3 linked regions of the Drosophila melanogaster genome follow. The protein of the gene in region 2 binds, or shares a complex with, the protein of the main gene of each other region. Each region holds a gene or a part of one and is shown on either strand. Other genes may lie near its edges.

What was found.
Region 1: MED9 (region 2) and MED23 share a complex: the UniProt entries of both Drosophila melanogaster proteins name them as parts of the mediator complex.
Region 3: MED9 (region 2) and MED26 share a complex: the UniProt entries of both Drosophila melanogaster proteins name them as parts of the mediator complex.

The regions. Positions count from the first base shown.
Region 1 is NT_033778.4:22,887,389-22,894,943, reverse strand, and holds MED23 (mediator complex subunit 23), read right to left. Parts: upstream 6,017-7,555; 5' UTR 5,931-6,016; coding exon 5,892-5,930; intron 5,830-5,891; coding exon 5,736-5,829; intron 5,682-5,735; coding exon 4,717-5,681; intron 4,659-4,716; coding exon 4,572-4,658; intron 4,517-4,571; coding exon 4,314-4,516; intron 4,262-4,313; coding exon 3,885-4,261; intron 3,825-3,884; coding exon 3,650-3,824; intron 3,594-3,649; coding exon 3,105-3,593; intron 3,047-3,104; coding exon 2,720-3,046; intron 2,661-2,719; coding exon 2,437-2,660; intron 2,379-2,436; coding exon 2,296-2,378; intron 2,240-2,295; coding exon 2,092-2,239; intron 2,023-2,091; coding exon 1,365-2,022; intron 1,304-1,364; coding exon 1,163-1,303; intron 1,105-1,162; coding exon 795-1,104; 3' UTR 519-794; downstream 1-518. Other genes in the region: CG3700 (uncharacterized protein), read right to left, coding at 1-161, 227-479; Gmer (GDP-4-keto-6-deoxy-D-mannose 3,5-epimerase/4-reductase), read left to right, coding at 6,185-6,309, 6,364-6,478, 6,537-7,094, 7,151-7,318; asrij, read right to left, coding at 7,411-7,555. UniProt on the Drosophila melanogaster protein: Component of the Mediator complex, a coactivator involved in the regulated transcription of nearly all RNA polymerase II-dependent genes.
Region 2 is NT_033778.4:18,165,667-18,168,921, reverse strand, and holds MED9 (mediator complex subunit 9), read right to left. Parts: upstream 1,668-3,255; 5' UTR 1,606-1,667; coding exon 1,400-1,605; intron 1,265-1,399; coding exon 1,201-1,264; intron 1,150-1,200; coding exon 985-1,149; 3' UTR 957-984; coding exon of another isoform or gene 784-956; intron 715-783; coding exon of another isoform or gene 630-714; 3' UTR 542-629; downstream 1-541. Other genes in the region: CG42518 (uncharacterized protein), read right to left, coding at 630-714, 784-956; Nup75 (nucleoporin 75kD), read left to right, coding at 1,851-1,877, 1,935-3,097, 3,159-3,255. UniProt on the Drosophila melanogaster protein: Component of the Mediator complex, a coactivator involved in the regulated transcription of nearly all RNA polymerase II-dependent genes.
Region 3 is NC_004353.4:785,961-790,672, reverse strand, and holds the start of MED26 (mediator complex subunit 26), read left to right. Parts: upstream 1-1,694; 5' UTR 1,695-1,778; intron 1,779-3,058; exon of another isoform or gene 3,059-3,221; intron 3,222-3,463; 5' UTR 3,464-3,526; coding exon 3,527-3,592; intron 3,593-3,646; coding exon 3,647-4,481; intron 4,482-4,712. UniProt on the Drosophila melanogaster protein: Component of the Mediator complex, a coactivator involved in the regulated transcription of nearly all RNA polymerase II-dependent genes.

The DNA of each region.
Region 1 (7,555 bases), 4.7 Mb from region 2:
GGATCCACCACAATCCCAATTGATGTCCGACTTGGACTTGTTGGGCCGATGAGTGCCGATTAGGGCCATGAAGGGAAACTCTTTACCGGATGCCTTTGTGCCGCCCACGATGAAGGGCGTGGACTGGCAGGCGGATCTGACCTCGTTGTATTGCTTGCACTCTAAAAAAAAAAAACGAATATTCAAATTCCATCAATCGAAGGGAATTGTTGCAGTCACTCCTCACGCTTCTCAAAAGGCCTCGTCTGTTCGGCTGGCTTCAGATTCTGGTGATCCAGCGGTATGGGACAGCAGACAATGTCGTTGAACTCGTCGCAGTACTTGACTTCGGCTCCGATCAGGTGCTGGTTGTAGAATATCACTGGACAGTCGGAGGGCGTCAGCTCCTTGCACTCGCCCGTTCCATTGTCGCAGTACTCGGTCACCACGCTGACTGAAGCAATCAGCAACAGAATCTGGATTCCCGGAAGCGCATACATCGCAGTGCTCTGCGATCACAACTGAGAACGGCGCTCGAGGTGGACAAGATCACCAACTACAGGTTATCTACGAAGAGCTTTAAGCTGGGCTTATTAAGTCAAGCTTTTGATTGTAAAGCTGGAGGGAGGACTTGGGCCGACAGCTGTGACTTACAAAAAGTTCCCTTAGTATCTAACTTAAACATATCTGAGAACTGTTTACACATTCAATGGAAAATGAATAATGCAATAAGCGATAAAATATAAGATAATACTACTATAAATTAGGCTTATGTCGTTATGTCAGCTTGAACTGACTTGGGAGTCCCACAAAGTCTAATTGTGGCGCATGTTTTGCATGTGCTGATGCTGCTGCATGTGCTGCATATACATTTGTTGCTGCTGGTTGATTTGCTGCTGCTGCTGTAGGTTGCCACCGCTGCCCAAGGGAACGCTGGTTGTTTGTACTGCGTTGATTTGTTGCTGCTGCATCTGTTGTTGCTGCTGTTGCTGCTGCTGCTGCTGCTGTTGCTGTTGTTGTTGCTGCTGTTGTTGCTGATGTGGTTGCTGCGGCTGCTGCTGATGCTGTGTTTGCATTGGAGACTGCGTTTGGCTGGTTATTGCATTATTGCTGGTATTGTCGTTGCTGAAATTGGAAAAGTTATGTTTAAACCGAAGTAGAGTTTGAATTAAATGGCCCTTACATCTTTTCAGTGTGAATATCCTCCAAGTTAAGGTGGGTTATGAACCTCAGGCGCATTTGCAGCAGGGGCCGTAGCCGCTTAATGATGGCTTCCGATTCGTTCTTAATGATATTACCCACATGTATATACTTAATGTGATAGCTGAAATGATACAAACACATTTGTTTAGTACCCTTTCATGCGATTTTGTGGATTTGCTTACAGGAAATCGCAGATCTGGTCCATGTACTGCAGAGGCTTCGGACCATGATGCTTGTCCACGATCTCAAGAATTTCGTAAAGCAACACGGCTATGCCAGCCACAGCGTTCGGTTTTTCCAACTCTATTCGTTGCAGGAAGGGGCCAAAAACGTGGCACAAATACAGCAATTGTTGTTCGGTTCGCACGCACGGCTTTAGCTTCTCCTTGAGGTACCTGGTCATTGCCGCCAGCTTAAAGGCGCCCATGTGATGGAACACTGAGTGAGCTACTGCCAACACCACGGCGTAGGTCTTTTCTAGCATCGCCTCACGCACTGTCTTGAAGTTAAACAACTCGAAAGCATTGAATCTGTAGGTCCAGTTCAGCATATTGGGTGTGTTGAGCATATCCTGTAGGCGATCGTATATGCCGCTCCAGTAGGGCTCAGGCAAGGCAGCCAGAACAATGCCCACAGCATTAATGTAGCTGTGAATGTCCTTTTGCGGAATAACCGCATATCCGCTTACTATAACATCGATGAGATTGCTGGCCACCAGTGGCGGTGCCACCGGCAGACCCAGCAGCTCCACGCATGTCACATAGAGCGCATGGGTTGGCGCATTCGGGAACTCGTTAAAACGCCAATCGGTGGAGTAAAATACATTCTTCCCACTAATTGCTGCAAAATAAAAGGGGTTACGCATGAATATATGAACACATCATAGTATTTTCCCAAATCCTAGCTTACTGTCTGCAAGTCTCCTGATCAAACTCATATAGTAGCTCAATTCGGGGGTCCACAGCGAGTCTTGGCTTTGCAAATACACCTTGTACGGCTCACTAACACTCCAGTTGGGCGGCCGAATCTCGCTAAAGGCGCTGGTGATAGCGCCAACCTGGAACAACACAGTGTATTAGAAGAAGGGAATATAATATTCATAACAAATCTTACAAGTTTCTTCTTTAGCGCAGGGCGGTCTCGTAAGATTCGCTCATAATAATGGAGGGTGTTGTACAGATATGTTATAGGTCGATCTGCAATTTAAAGGGTAATTTAAAGTTATGAAATTCTCGAAAGCCACTTTTAACATACCGTGAAACTTGTAGAGTATGCTCAGATGATCCAAAATGAAGCCCAATATCTGGTGGACATTTGTAATGGTAAGTTCGATAAATCTGTGCACTACCACATCCAGAACGGGAAGGAATCGCAGACAGACATTGCTGAAGTACACGGGCAGCGGAATCTGTGAAGCTGACTCGTCCAACGCGAACTTCTCTGGATACTTTTGATGGAATGACAAGTGTTTGTCCTGCCTGAGAAATAATAACAACTATGCCTTTGTGCTCTTAACAAAATCAAGTGTCCAACTTACCAGTTGCTCTGCTTCCAGTGATCAGGATTATTGTCCTTGCAGAACTCCTGAACACGATTTCTCAGCTCGCTGGCTTTCAGCAAGAGCAGCTGAATTATGAGAAAGCAGACTTGAGCCTCGTTACCCTCGTGCGTTCGCAGAGCCAGGCAAAGCACAACCCTATCGATGGTCACAACGTTGAACTTCCAAATCATGTTGTTAATGGTGTCGACGCACTTGTGAATAAAGTCGCGGCCATCCGATGAGCTAGCTACCTCAGCCACCAAGTAGTCACAAAATTTACGCAGATGAGTGGACAAGGCTCTCGCGCTTATACCCTCCAAAATTCTAAAAAAAAAGGTATGGTCAGAAAAAATGATTGTGTTTAAATCATAATGTTACGCACTTGTAAGCCACTGGGCTTATGTTCTCCGTCTCCCAAATTATTTTGAACAGAAGGCAAAGGAATAAAGGATTCGTAGTTGGACGCAAGAAGTGCGCAATTATGTCATTCTCGTTGGTCATCGACGTCCAGGTTCGATATTCCTCTTCCACGGCCTTCTTCAACTGCTGCTTGTTCTCCGGAGGTTGGTTGTTCTGCGTAAAGTACTCGTTTAAGGCGGGCGGAAAGCAGGCTAGGGAATGCATGGGCCACGAGTGCGGCGTGTGCTGAATGATGTTGGAAAGGAAGTCCTTGCACCATCCCTGCATTTCATCGCCGCCACCATGTACGTGCATGGATCGAGCTAGCGTAAGAATAAGTACTCTGTTTAGCTCTTCGCTCTCATTAGACGCCACTGCTCCGGGAGATTTGTCGTTAAAGTAACGCGAAAACTGCGGCTGAAACTCGGCGGATCCAATGCTGGTGATCAGACGCAGTGCAGTAGATTCAAAACTATACAAAGGGAAGAACTTAGAAAGAAGTCTATACTCGATAAACGTATAACTAACCAGAGATTGAGCTGCATCTTGTTTGTCTGCGGCACGGAGGACAGAGAATGAAGGAGAGACAGCAATTGGACCCGGTAGTGAGTAGGAACATGGTGCAGCCGGTACGAAAACATCTCCATTAAGGTGTGCAGCATGGCCCACGCATGGTTCTTAAACACTGTTGGCATCAGTTGGCCTTTAGGAGGAAAAAAAACCATAAACATATTGTTTAATCACTTCAACAGGCTGTACTTACTCAGGAATCCCTTTATACCGAGCGACTCGATTTCTGTATAAACCAGAAGTCTGGCATAAGTTTCCAGTAGTGCAGCCGCTGGAACTTGACCCTTGCTTTGGGCCTGTTTTAACATCTGAGTTACGAAGCTGTGGATTAACGACATCTTACTGTGCACCGTCAAGCTGTCCAGAACCGTGACCGAAAAAGTTACGGCTGGGATTTGGCCACCGTTTGGAGATTTTGAAGTGCCATTTAGGGCATCCAGCAGTAGACCCATGGGACGCCCGAAGTACTCCTGATTCGTTGAGTATGCATTGCAGATGAGAATTATGCGGAAGTCGTTTCCTAGCGTCATGTTCATCATGGTGTTAGCCGTGACTAGGTGCTGCAGAAAGCTGGGAATTAAGCAGTTAGTATCTAAACACCAAAGGAAGTTAGAGGTATTACTCGTAGTGGTTTTTCAGTGCAATTGGCAATGGTCTGGTGATGTTCATGTTTTCCACTCGTGCCTTCTTCATCAGGTGAATCCAAACGCAAATGGGTGCCATATGGCGAACCATCGAGGATTTATTGATATCTGGCAGCTTAAGAGGCTCTAGCTCGGGATATAGTAGGTCAAACAATCTGAACACAGGCAGGAAATTGGTGATCTAAAATTAAAAGCGATTAAAAATAAGATCAATCAGGTGGAGAACAGGATCTTACAGGATTTTTCTGTATGCTTCCGGATATAAACTGCAACAGAATCCACATAAGTTGATCGCGACCCTTGCGAAGCTCCAACTTGGAAAGCTATAGGTGAAAAGTAGTTAATTACAAGAAATATTAATTTCATCCACCATGGACCTACCTTTTCGTGGAGCGCCAACACTATGTGCATAAAGCTTACGAACTGAAAGAGCACAAAGTAAATTAGTTGCGAAGAGAGATGCAGCCACATCCACTCGTAGGGCGTGATCTGCTCGTCTGAGGAGTTAAAGCCACTTCCCGCAGTGGCATCATTCGCCTCCGTCATCTCCATGGCCTGCACTATGAGATTAACCAACTGCTCTTCCAGGGCATTGTAGCGCTGCTTCTGATGCTTTTGCAGGTTCAGCATTTGAGAGACCATTTCCCTTGAGTACGGCTGCTCCAAAACGTAGCGGAGTAGGGGCTTCTGCTCTTCGAGCAGCTCTGGCTCGTAGGGCAGGCTACCCTTAAAGTTAAACTTCAGGGTATTGTGGTCCAGTCGCCAGGAGTTCATCATGTGATCGGCATAGCCGAAATGCTCTACGATGGGAAGCATGCTGGCATGTCCAATGATCGAAACCATTTGTGCCGTGGTGCGGAACTCTTCGACAAAGTCGGTCATCAGCCGGTTGAGTTTCCAGTGGTAAGGAAACGGACGCATAATCTCGTTGGCAATAAAGTAGGCGGGCAGCAGGCAATTGTTGCGATCAAAGATGAATCGCAGGATATCCTCAACGGCCAGTAGCTGTGGCATGTAGGTAACGTTGACGTTCAGCGGAAACCATTGTGCCTTGTCGCGGCATACCTTCATGATCTCGCGCACACCCTTGTAGTCCACCTGGACGATCACACGCTTGATCAGCCGGAAGCTCTCGATCCAGAAGGTCCTGTGCTCGAAGTCCAGTTTCTCGCACATCAGCACCTTGTCGCACAGCATCCTGGCGGTGATCACGTGTGCGTCCACCAGCTTCACCAGTGCCGCCATCAGCACTTTGATGTGATATCCGGAGGCACCGGCGGCACGCAACAGGTAGAGCCGAAGCACCTGCTCCCGGTTCTCCTGCGCCACGTTCCCAAAGGCGGTAACTGAAACAGATAGTTTTTAACAATTTTCGAGTTCCAGCAGACGCATTTACCTACCCAAATCATTGGCGAAGCGGGTAGCTCGTTCTTGCTCGGTGTTTGGCTTGAATACAATGACGCTAACGAACGCCTCGTCAAGGGAGTCGACCTTCTGCGAAATGGAGAGCGTGGATGAGTGGGTGATTTTTTGGAGACGCAGGGTTTCACTATTACCAGAAACTCGTTAACGGTGTCTATAACTTGCGTTTCCATATCCATTTAAATTATTTTTCGCATATCCGACACCGCATAAACAAAAACTACCTGGGCACAGTGTGACCAAATGGGGCTTAGTAAAGAATCTAAAAGTGGCTTTTTCTGATAACAAGAAATAGCTAAAGGATTAGATTAAAAACGCCAGGCAGGCAGCACTGACTGATTAGCCGGCATTTAAAGCAGCTGGTCGCATTGAGTCGAAAATTACTTTAGAAACTAATTGACTTGATTTGTGGAATCGCACAAAAATCATGAAGAAAGTTCTGGTTACAGGCGGAACTGGGCTGGTGGGCAAGGCCCTGGAGGCTGTGATCAAGGAGCAGTCCCCAGAGGACGAGCAATGGTTTTTTGCGGGCTCTAAAGATGCAGATTTGACGTAAGTCATGAAGAAATTCAATTGAACGTATCCGTAAACAAATTCTCTCCACAGAAATCTGGCCGCCACGCAGGCACTCTTCGCCCGAGAGAAGCCCACGCATGTCATCCATCTGGCTGCAATGGTCGGAGGCCTGTTCCACAACATGAACAACAACCTGGACTTCTTGGTGAGCTCCTGGTCTCACAGATGATTCCAAAACCCATTTCATGCGAATCCACTTTTAGCGCAACAACCTGCTCATTAACGACAATGTCCTGCAAACGGCACACGAGCAGGGATGCGTGAAGGTGGTGTCCTGCCTGTCCACATGCATTTTTCCGGACAAAACCAGCTACCCCATAGATGAGACCATGGTGCACAATGGGCCGCCGCACCCCTCCAATTATGGTTACTCCTACGCAAAGCGACTGATAGACGTGCAGAACCACGCCTACCACGATAAATATGGCCGGGTGTACACCTCGGTCATTCCGTGCAACATATTCGGTCCCCACGACAACTATAATCCAGAGGTCAGCCACGTTATTCCGGGCATGATCTATAGGATGCACCAGCTGGTTACGGAGAAGACTGACGTCCCCGAAAACGACAAGGTGTTCACCGTTTTCGGAAGCGGCATGCCACTACGGCAGTTTGTATACTCCCGGGACCTGGCGGAGCTGATGATCTGGGTGCTCAGGAACTACGAAAGTGTGGAGCCCATCATCCTAAGCGCGGACGAAGTGCAGGAGGTGACGATCTTCGAGGTGGCCCAAGCCGTTGCAAAAGCATTTAATTTTAATGTGGGTTAAAAAGCGAAATTTGAGACAAGGCAAGATATTAACTTGATTTATTCCAGGGAAGACTGGTCTGTGATACGAGCAAGTCGGATGGACAGTACAAAAAGACTGCGTCTAATGCCAAGCTTCGCTCCTTCCTGCCAGACTACGCATTTACGGACTTGGAAACGGCAATCAACGCCTCGGTTAAGTGGTACATAGAAAACTACGACCAGGCTAGAAAGTAATTGAATATTCCAACCCCAAAAAAAAATGTAAATAGACAACGAATTTTCACAGAACTTTATGCGCGTTTAATGTCCAACAAAATAACAATACCTTAATCAGTCCAGGAGTCGCCGTATTGGTTCTTCCTTCCAGCGGGTTCACTTTGTGCCTGCTCCACGGGTCGCTGTTGAACGGCAACTGGTGGTTCGTAAGGTCGCGAGTATGGACTCTGCTGGTGCTTCGAATACTCTTCTCGG
Region 2 (3,255 bases):
AATCTAAAGTGGCATGTGCCCCAATAAACTATTTCGTGTCCCGTTCTTGTCCACTGTACATTGTGCTATATGCCAAACCAAATTCTATATTTTGTTTGTTCACTAGACTTAAGACAACCGACGTCACTGCAGCATGGATTTCATTTGTCTTTTCACTGAATAAACGCAGGTTGAACCAGATGCTACTTGTGTACATGATATTAAATTATCTCTCGATAAACTTAAATAGACACGACTTTATAAATTGGAATCTTAAATTAAAATCTTATAGTTTAAGATGAGTTTAATGTCTATGCAAACTGAAAATGAAAACAAATTTGCTGACGCAAATTACGTTGAAAGCGTTGTAAATGCAGACATTAGGTTATTATTTGATTTTTTTGTAAAACGATAGTTTCAGAATGACAATCTGAAGTTCTCTTTTGTTTTTAAGTGTTAAGATAAAATGGCAATGAATAAGGATTTCTTTGTTTCCTAATTACCTTAATAAAAGCAATTTCCTATTCTACAAAAATAAGGTTCATTCACCGAAGATAATGTTCTGGCTTCAATGTTTATTCATCTGTGTTTACTAAAATTTATCTTGCCGCGTATATACAATTGTAGTTAAACAAGTTAATTACTGAACCCTAGTTCTTTTTCTTGCTATTAAGCTCCTTCTTCACTCCCTCCAGCTCTTGGCGCACGTTGTTCTTAAACATGTTAACGAAGGATCTACAATTTGGAAAATGCATGTCAGATTGGCGGATTCAGCCAGATGATTCTGGCGATTCTTTCACTCACTTGAAACGCTCTGGCGTCATCTCGTGCAGTCCCTGCTCCCGGGCCAAGTCTTTTGTGCGGTACATCAGGGAAACGACCAACTGGGCAGCGCGTCTCATGGGATAGCTCTCCGCCATGCGCTGGATGAGCTGCTCGTTGTTGGCCAGGTAGCGCATTAGCAGTCGCAGCACCATCTTGCCCTTTTTTTTATTTTGCTGCCGCCTAGAACTCTGTGTCCTTGTATTTGCGAATTAGCTGCTGCTTAAGCTTCAGCTGATTTCGCAGTAGTTCCAGTCTCTGTTGCTGCTCCTCCTTATTGAAATCGATCCCGGGGAGCTGGCGGATTTGCTCGCGTGCCGATTCGAAGCGTTTTTGAAGTTCAAAGATCTACAAATCAAGTATATAGCGGTGGCAACTTATGACGAACCAAGGACTCACCTTGTGGTTGCAATCCTGGGACTCGCGCAGCTTAACGGCGTTCTCCAGAGGATCCTTTTCCACGCTGAAAGACACAAAGACGCCAGGTTATATAAGGTGCGGCATTAATTGCGCACTTGTTGCTAAAATCCGCCGATTTTCGGCATTGTCCGTGCAGGGGCAATGACACCCGGAATCCGCATCCGCGATGACCACTCACCAGCGCACAATGTCGTAGATTATCGGCAGAATCTCAATGTCCAACTGGTCAACCGTCAGATGGCACTGGCCGCCGATTCCGTTGGATGTTTGCGTCTCCTGCGATATGGTCGGCTCGAAGGGGGAGTTCGAAGTCTGAACCAGGCCGTCGGCGGTTAGGATGGGTTTTCTGTCCTCGATCTGATTGTTTGGCGACAAATCCATCATAAAAAACACGAATCGAATTTCCAGCGTCAGAATCAATAGGACCTTACCGACAACACGTAATAATACCAAAGTAATGCCCTCACATTCTCTTAATTCGATTAATATACTAAAGGGAAAAGTAGTAGATGCACAACCTGCTATCGAAGTACGATAGACCGATAGAGCCAGGCAAATGCCGCCTCTGCTTATCGATAACAAGCAACGAATCGTTTAGAATTTATAAAGAAGAAAAACATAAAGCCAACATGAGCGACAGCGGTGTTTTCGCCTTCGTAAGTAGCTGCACAAATAAAAAACTCAATAGATTAAACCTCGTTTAATCTATCTAGGAGCTTGGCGATGACCTAGCCACACGCTGTGGCAATACACTCACTGGCGTCTTTGTGCCGGGCTCACGAATCGCACTCAGCGCCTACCGGCATGTGACGCACAGTTCGCGGGATGAGCCCACAGAGAATGCTGGACAGGTTCCGGTGCTCATCTACATGGCGCAGGAGTCGACGCTGTTCGACGAACCCGTTCTCCGCAGCGTACTCGCCGAGGCGAATGCCACGTTCGCCACGCTGCAACAGTTGGGTTCGCGGGCCACACGTGCCGAGTATGTGAATATATCCCGGGCATACAGGAGCATTGTGCGCTCATGCCTGGAGAAGCTGGAGCAGGCAAAAAAATCGCCGGAGGTTCAGACAGATGAGGCGCGCCTGCAACGCTTATGTGATGCCATCGTTGTGTTCTATGCGGCAGAATGCCTGTGGCATCTCTTCGAGATTCTGTACATTCAGAGCAATCAGCTGGTGGTGCCGCAGCTGCTCGACTGGGCGCGTTTCCACTCGCCGCACGCAGAGGACAGAGCCACGGATCTACTGCTCATGGGAGAGGAGGCCAGCGAATCTGATGACTATTGGAGCATTGTCAAATCACTCATTATGCTGGGCGAAATAGATGTTACGAGAGCAGTTCTCTCGCAGAATCGCAAAGCTGGACAAACGAGCTTCAAGGCGGCCGAACAGATCCTGAAGTCCATGCCAGTGTATCAAGAGGGCTATGCCCTGCAGAAGTTTCACTCGCAGTGGGAGTTCTGGCACGTGGATACGGAACGCAAGATTCAGTCCGGCTTATTTGCCACGGAGCCGGAGCTGGAGCAGTTGATTCGTCTGGTCGCCGGCGACAGCGAGCAGTGGGATGCTGGCATCAAAGAGTCCCAGGATTTCTATGAATACCTGCCAGGATACCTGCTCTTTACCAAGCCCACCTGCAAACCCTTTGAGCTGAAAATAGCGGCAGCCAAATGGCTAAACCGATGGTGTCTTCTCCGGCCGGAAAGAGAGCAGTGCAGCATGAACCGCATGGTTTCTCAGCTTATGGATCACGATCTTAGACTATTTATATACGATGCTCAAAAACTTAACGACACACACTGGTTCTCAACGCATTTGATTGATCTTATCCATCATTGTGGTCAGCTGAAGAGCTATTTCGATCAGAACAACATGTGAGTTTTTTTGTCAGAAGTTATGTTCAATCAATATGCTATATATTTTATGCACCCACAGCGATCTTCCGGCCCTGCGTCACTCAATGATCTATGAGTACGGCAGCTATCTGATGACGTCCCACAATATGTGGCAACTGGGCATCGACTATCTGGAC
Region 3 (4,712 bases), on a different chromosome or scaffold from region 2:
GCAGAGTATTAACTGACAAAAACCCCATGAAATGCGCGCTCCAAGTTAACAATGGAGTTTGGAACAAACTAAAGGAAATGCAGGAATACCTAAAGAGCGTTAAATATCACGGGAATAAAATATATTGTGTTGATGGCTTGATCCAAACTACTGAAGCTATATTTGGACTCGTCGAAGATCTCTTTAAGGATCACACAGACCACTTTTTCTTTTTAACTAGTAGAGTTAACCAGGATCCCCTTGAAAATATATTTGCGTGCGTTCGAGCAAAAGGTGGTAACTGCAGAAATCCTTCAGTTAACGAATTTAATATAATAATTGCCAAGCTCATATCTCTACACATTTTTAAATTTTCACAAAAGTCGAATTGCGAATCAGATGATGATGTTATGTTGCCAATAGAGTTCGATTCGATAATATATCAGCCTTTCGTTGAAAAAAAAGAAATACAGCAACAAGAATACTCTGTATCATTTTCCAAAATCGTGCAAGACAATGAGAGGTACTTTGACCAAAATATAGATAACTTTTTGTGCAATGATGTACCCATTGAATTAACTTCCAGTAGATATTTTGTTGGATATATTGCTAAGGGATCCAGTTGCGATAAATGCAGATCGGTAATTTTAAAAGAAACCGAGCATTTAACAGCTCCATCAGAGCTTTTTATACATGAGAAAAACTACTCAATAGAATCGGACTTCGGGAAATTAAGGGCACCATCTGATTTATTTTTTAATATTTACAAAATACACATTAAAGCTTTCGAAAATATTTTTAAAAATAATAAAAAACAAATGTGTATAAAAAAATTTATTGTTGAGCAATGCATTAAGTGCACAAATGAAAGTAGTGCCTTCCCATTATGGTTTTATGAAAATAATGAATGTTATGCACATAGAACAGATCTTTTAAACAAACTTATAAAAGTTTTGCTTTTTAAGCATTGTAAGTGGACTGTGATAGCTGATAGACAAAAAAAGCAAGCTAAGCTCAGCATTCTATCTCATGAATAAAAAAAATGAGCGTTATTTAAATAACTGACGACTGAAAAATCGAGCAATATATAATAAAAAACAATAGTTAGAAAAATAACTTAATTGGGGAATATGGAAATGTTTTAATGTTAAACATTAAAATATTTCAAGTCGACTCGAAGGTCATATACGTAAATATAAGACCCCATTACAATTGTAATGGCCTCCCCGTAGTGTTCCCTGGGTACCGACTATTACACATATTACACATAAATAATTATCAACATAAATATAAATATGTAAACGGTAGCTAATTCGAGCGGCGATTTTAACAAACGAATTTAAAAAGCTTTAAAATTAAAAAATTTTAAAATTAAAATTAAAATTTTAAAATTATAATAAGAAGGGCGCGAATTTTTAAAAATTATTTTATTTCATCATATTGCTACGAAATTGGCAAAAAACTACCCTAATATGTACAATGTAAATTCATTTCTTTGATCAGAATTGATTTCGGCCCGAAAATCGTCTTCTAGCACAACACCCACACATATACGCGTTCCCGTCTCTTGTTTTTACTCACACAAGCAAGCAAATTCTATTTTTAGATTTCTTATGTTCTCAGCGTGAGCGAGCGGAAAGAGAGCAATTTTGGCCGTCACCAAAAAAGTGGCTGCATAGTGCCAAACCAATGTATGGCCGTTACGCATCTTGTTATTCTAGTGTCTTTGGTATGGCCGTTACGCATCTTGTTATTTATATGGCTTTGAATAGACCATGTGCAGTGTGATTAATGTGGGGGTATGTATTAAAAACGACATATAATATAAGTATATTTATGTATGTGCAAAAGGAATATATCAGGATATTTCGGTAAGAGCGACAAACCAGCCAAGTGTGAATTTATGAAGTTGATGCATCTATATTTTTGCAAATCTCAAGTTTATATGCAGAAGAGTCACTGTCGTTATATTTGAATTTTGCTCACTAGCGGAGATGATTAAATTTTTTATTATTGTACTGAAATACAAAAATGTTTTTTAAACTTAATTAGCATTTTAAGTAATAATAGTTTTTCTCCGGTATTCTAACGTTACCAGTGTGAACGGATCGGACAAGCATTCTTCCTAATTTAGTACTACTAACCGTTTATATTCCAATTACACTATATATATGGACACAGTCAGTTTTGGTTTTTGTCAAACACGGAAACACAGTATAAGCATGGGGTAGCTCAGTTCTTAGACGGGAAGGTCAATAAAATCTCTTCTGCTCGAGGTTCAGAATAAGAATAATATTATAGAACATATTAAAAAAAAAGCCGCTGTGGTAAAATGTGAATATAAAAAATTAAACATATTCTTTTTCTGTTGCTTATTAAATGTAAAATATATTCTTATATACAAAAGGCTTCCAAAGGTTTTGCAATAAGAAAAAAATATATACTCGATTTTGGTGCTGAAGGATAGTACTATAGTTTACTTTTTTTCAATTGTGAGATGATCCCTTAACCCAAGTTATGGGGTTTGGTAATTGTAAGCCATTTGTTTGTTTTTTGTTTTTGAAGAACACCGAGAGCATTTGTTTTGTACAAATCCTATATATACACACTTTTTTCAAATATTTCGCATTGAAATGAAAGAGTTTAAGAATCTTTATATATCCTTAACAAAAAAAAAACGGCATTGCTAGTCCGAATAAAATAAGTTAAGGGTAAAAAAACAAACAATATTTTAATATTCTCCATATTAAGTAAAGCGGGTAACTGGACGGAGAATCTACGAAATCGTTTTATATTTTACAAAATATATAGGACAACGGGAAAATATCCAAACCACAAAGCAACAAAACCTTCATTTTCTGGTCTGGTATATTTGACCCTTTTTTCATTTTGAGATTCACGCATTTAGCCCAAAAATGGACGTTTACTTTATATAATACTCCTATAGGTTTTCATGTCACATATAATACAATTCCTCTTCAATTCTGTTTGATAGCAGTATGATCAGGCCTTCCTGTTAAAAGAAATTCACGTGAAAGTATATCGATAATAATTGTTAAATACTTATCGATTTTCTGCCACCCTTGAAGTGCAGCTGTCATTGGTAAAAATGGCGAATTGTAATAAAGTCGGGAAGTCAACCATAAATTATTAATTTTCCTTATTTTGGACAAATACAAATTTTCATATTCAAGGAAGTGCGCTCAGGAAGCACAGACTTTACATTCGAAGTGTGCATATTTGTAAGCATAACGATTGAGCAATACACGTTTTGTATTGGTATGAGTGTTTCACAGACACGCTACTAACTCGGGTATTAAAATTTTTGAACTTCTGGGTCTTTAAACTTTACTTAATAGCAATTTTACGGCTATTTATAATAGTATTTATTTTGCAACAACGTGAAGTGAATACACTATAACTTTTTACTTTCTACCTACTACTTACTTTTCTATTACTTTCCTTATTTTTCTAACTTGGACAGTATTTGCATTTCGCCGTCCCTTGAATCTGGATCAGGGCAATATTTACGCACCGCAAGATATAAATGAACCAAATCGAAATACAGGAACTTACTACTCACCTATCCCAGGCACTTGATCAAAACTACGATGTAAGAAAACGTATTACCTTATCAACAAATCAGTTAATGTAAAGATCTTTTCAGGTCGTCAATATGGACGCAGTTCTCTGTGTCATATGTGCATTGGAGGGTACAACTATCACCAAGGAGCAGTTGGAGGCCACCAGATTGGCTAAGTACATAAATCAGCTCAGAAGAAGGACTAAGAATGAACATTTGGCTCGACGTGCAAAATCCTTGCTGAAAAAGTGGCGGGAAATGGTAGGAATTCAGCAAACAGCCACTGAAAATTTGGCACATCCCAGTCAAATTTCATCTTCACAACCAGCATTAGATTTGGTTAAGTCCCCTATCACCAGCTTTATTACAGAACCAATTGCTCCTTCGCAGCAAATAGTTTCAGATTTGCATTCAAATATCGACTCTGCGGAGCCTCCGCTTTCGGGTGAACATACCCTACTTCATCCGAACTTCTCCAACCTTGTAAATAGTATAAAAGATAGCGATCGCCACGAAAACATCGCTATAACGACATTGCATACTCACAAGGATCGGCGACATTCGCATTCCATCCGAAGTTGCCACGTGGCCTCTCCTCAGCCCATCGTCATAGATCATTCGGTAAATTCCGTGATTAACTTGACCGATGACAGCACCGTGAAGATAAACGAAGCTTCAGTTGTTATTGACATAGCTTCGGATTCCGATGAGAATGACAATAACGGTTCGTTAAATCCAAAAAAATTAAACTCAATTGTTCCTGCGCCACTTCCAATACCATCTACACCAAGCTCACGGCAACGCAAATTAAAAAAGGAAAAAAGAAGTAAGGAAAGAGAAGGACAGGTCGCAACAAATACAAGATTTGGTGCAAAAGCCAGCGACGGGTTTCAACAGGCCGCTCTGACAACAGATTCGGGTATGATTCAATTGTATTTGTCTTTGTGTCTATCCTTGCAGAAGCTCAAAGAAGCTGGGTTCGGAAAAATGGAATTTTCGAAATTTGAAAGCTGGAATCGTGTGCCCACCAATTAGTTTTTTTTTGTCCACGTCCAGTCTTTGAGATCTGAATTTTCAAAAAAGTTCGATAATCAAAAAGTGTACTTTTTCAAAAATTTTATATTTTAAATTGCAATAACATCGTTTGCCA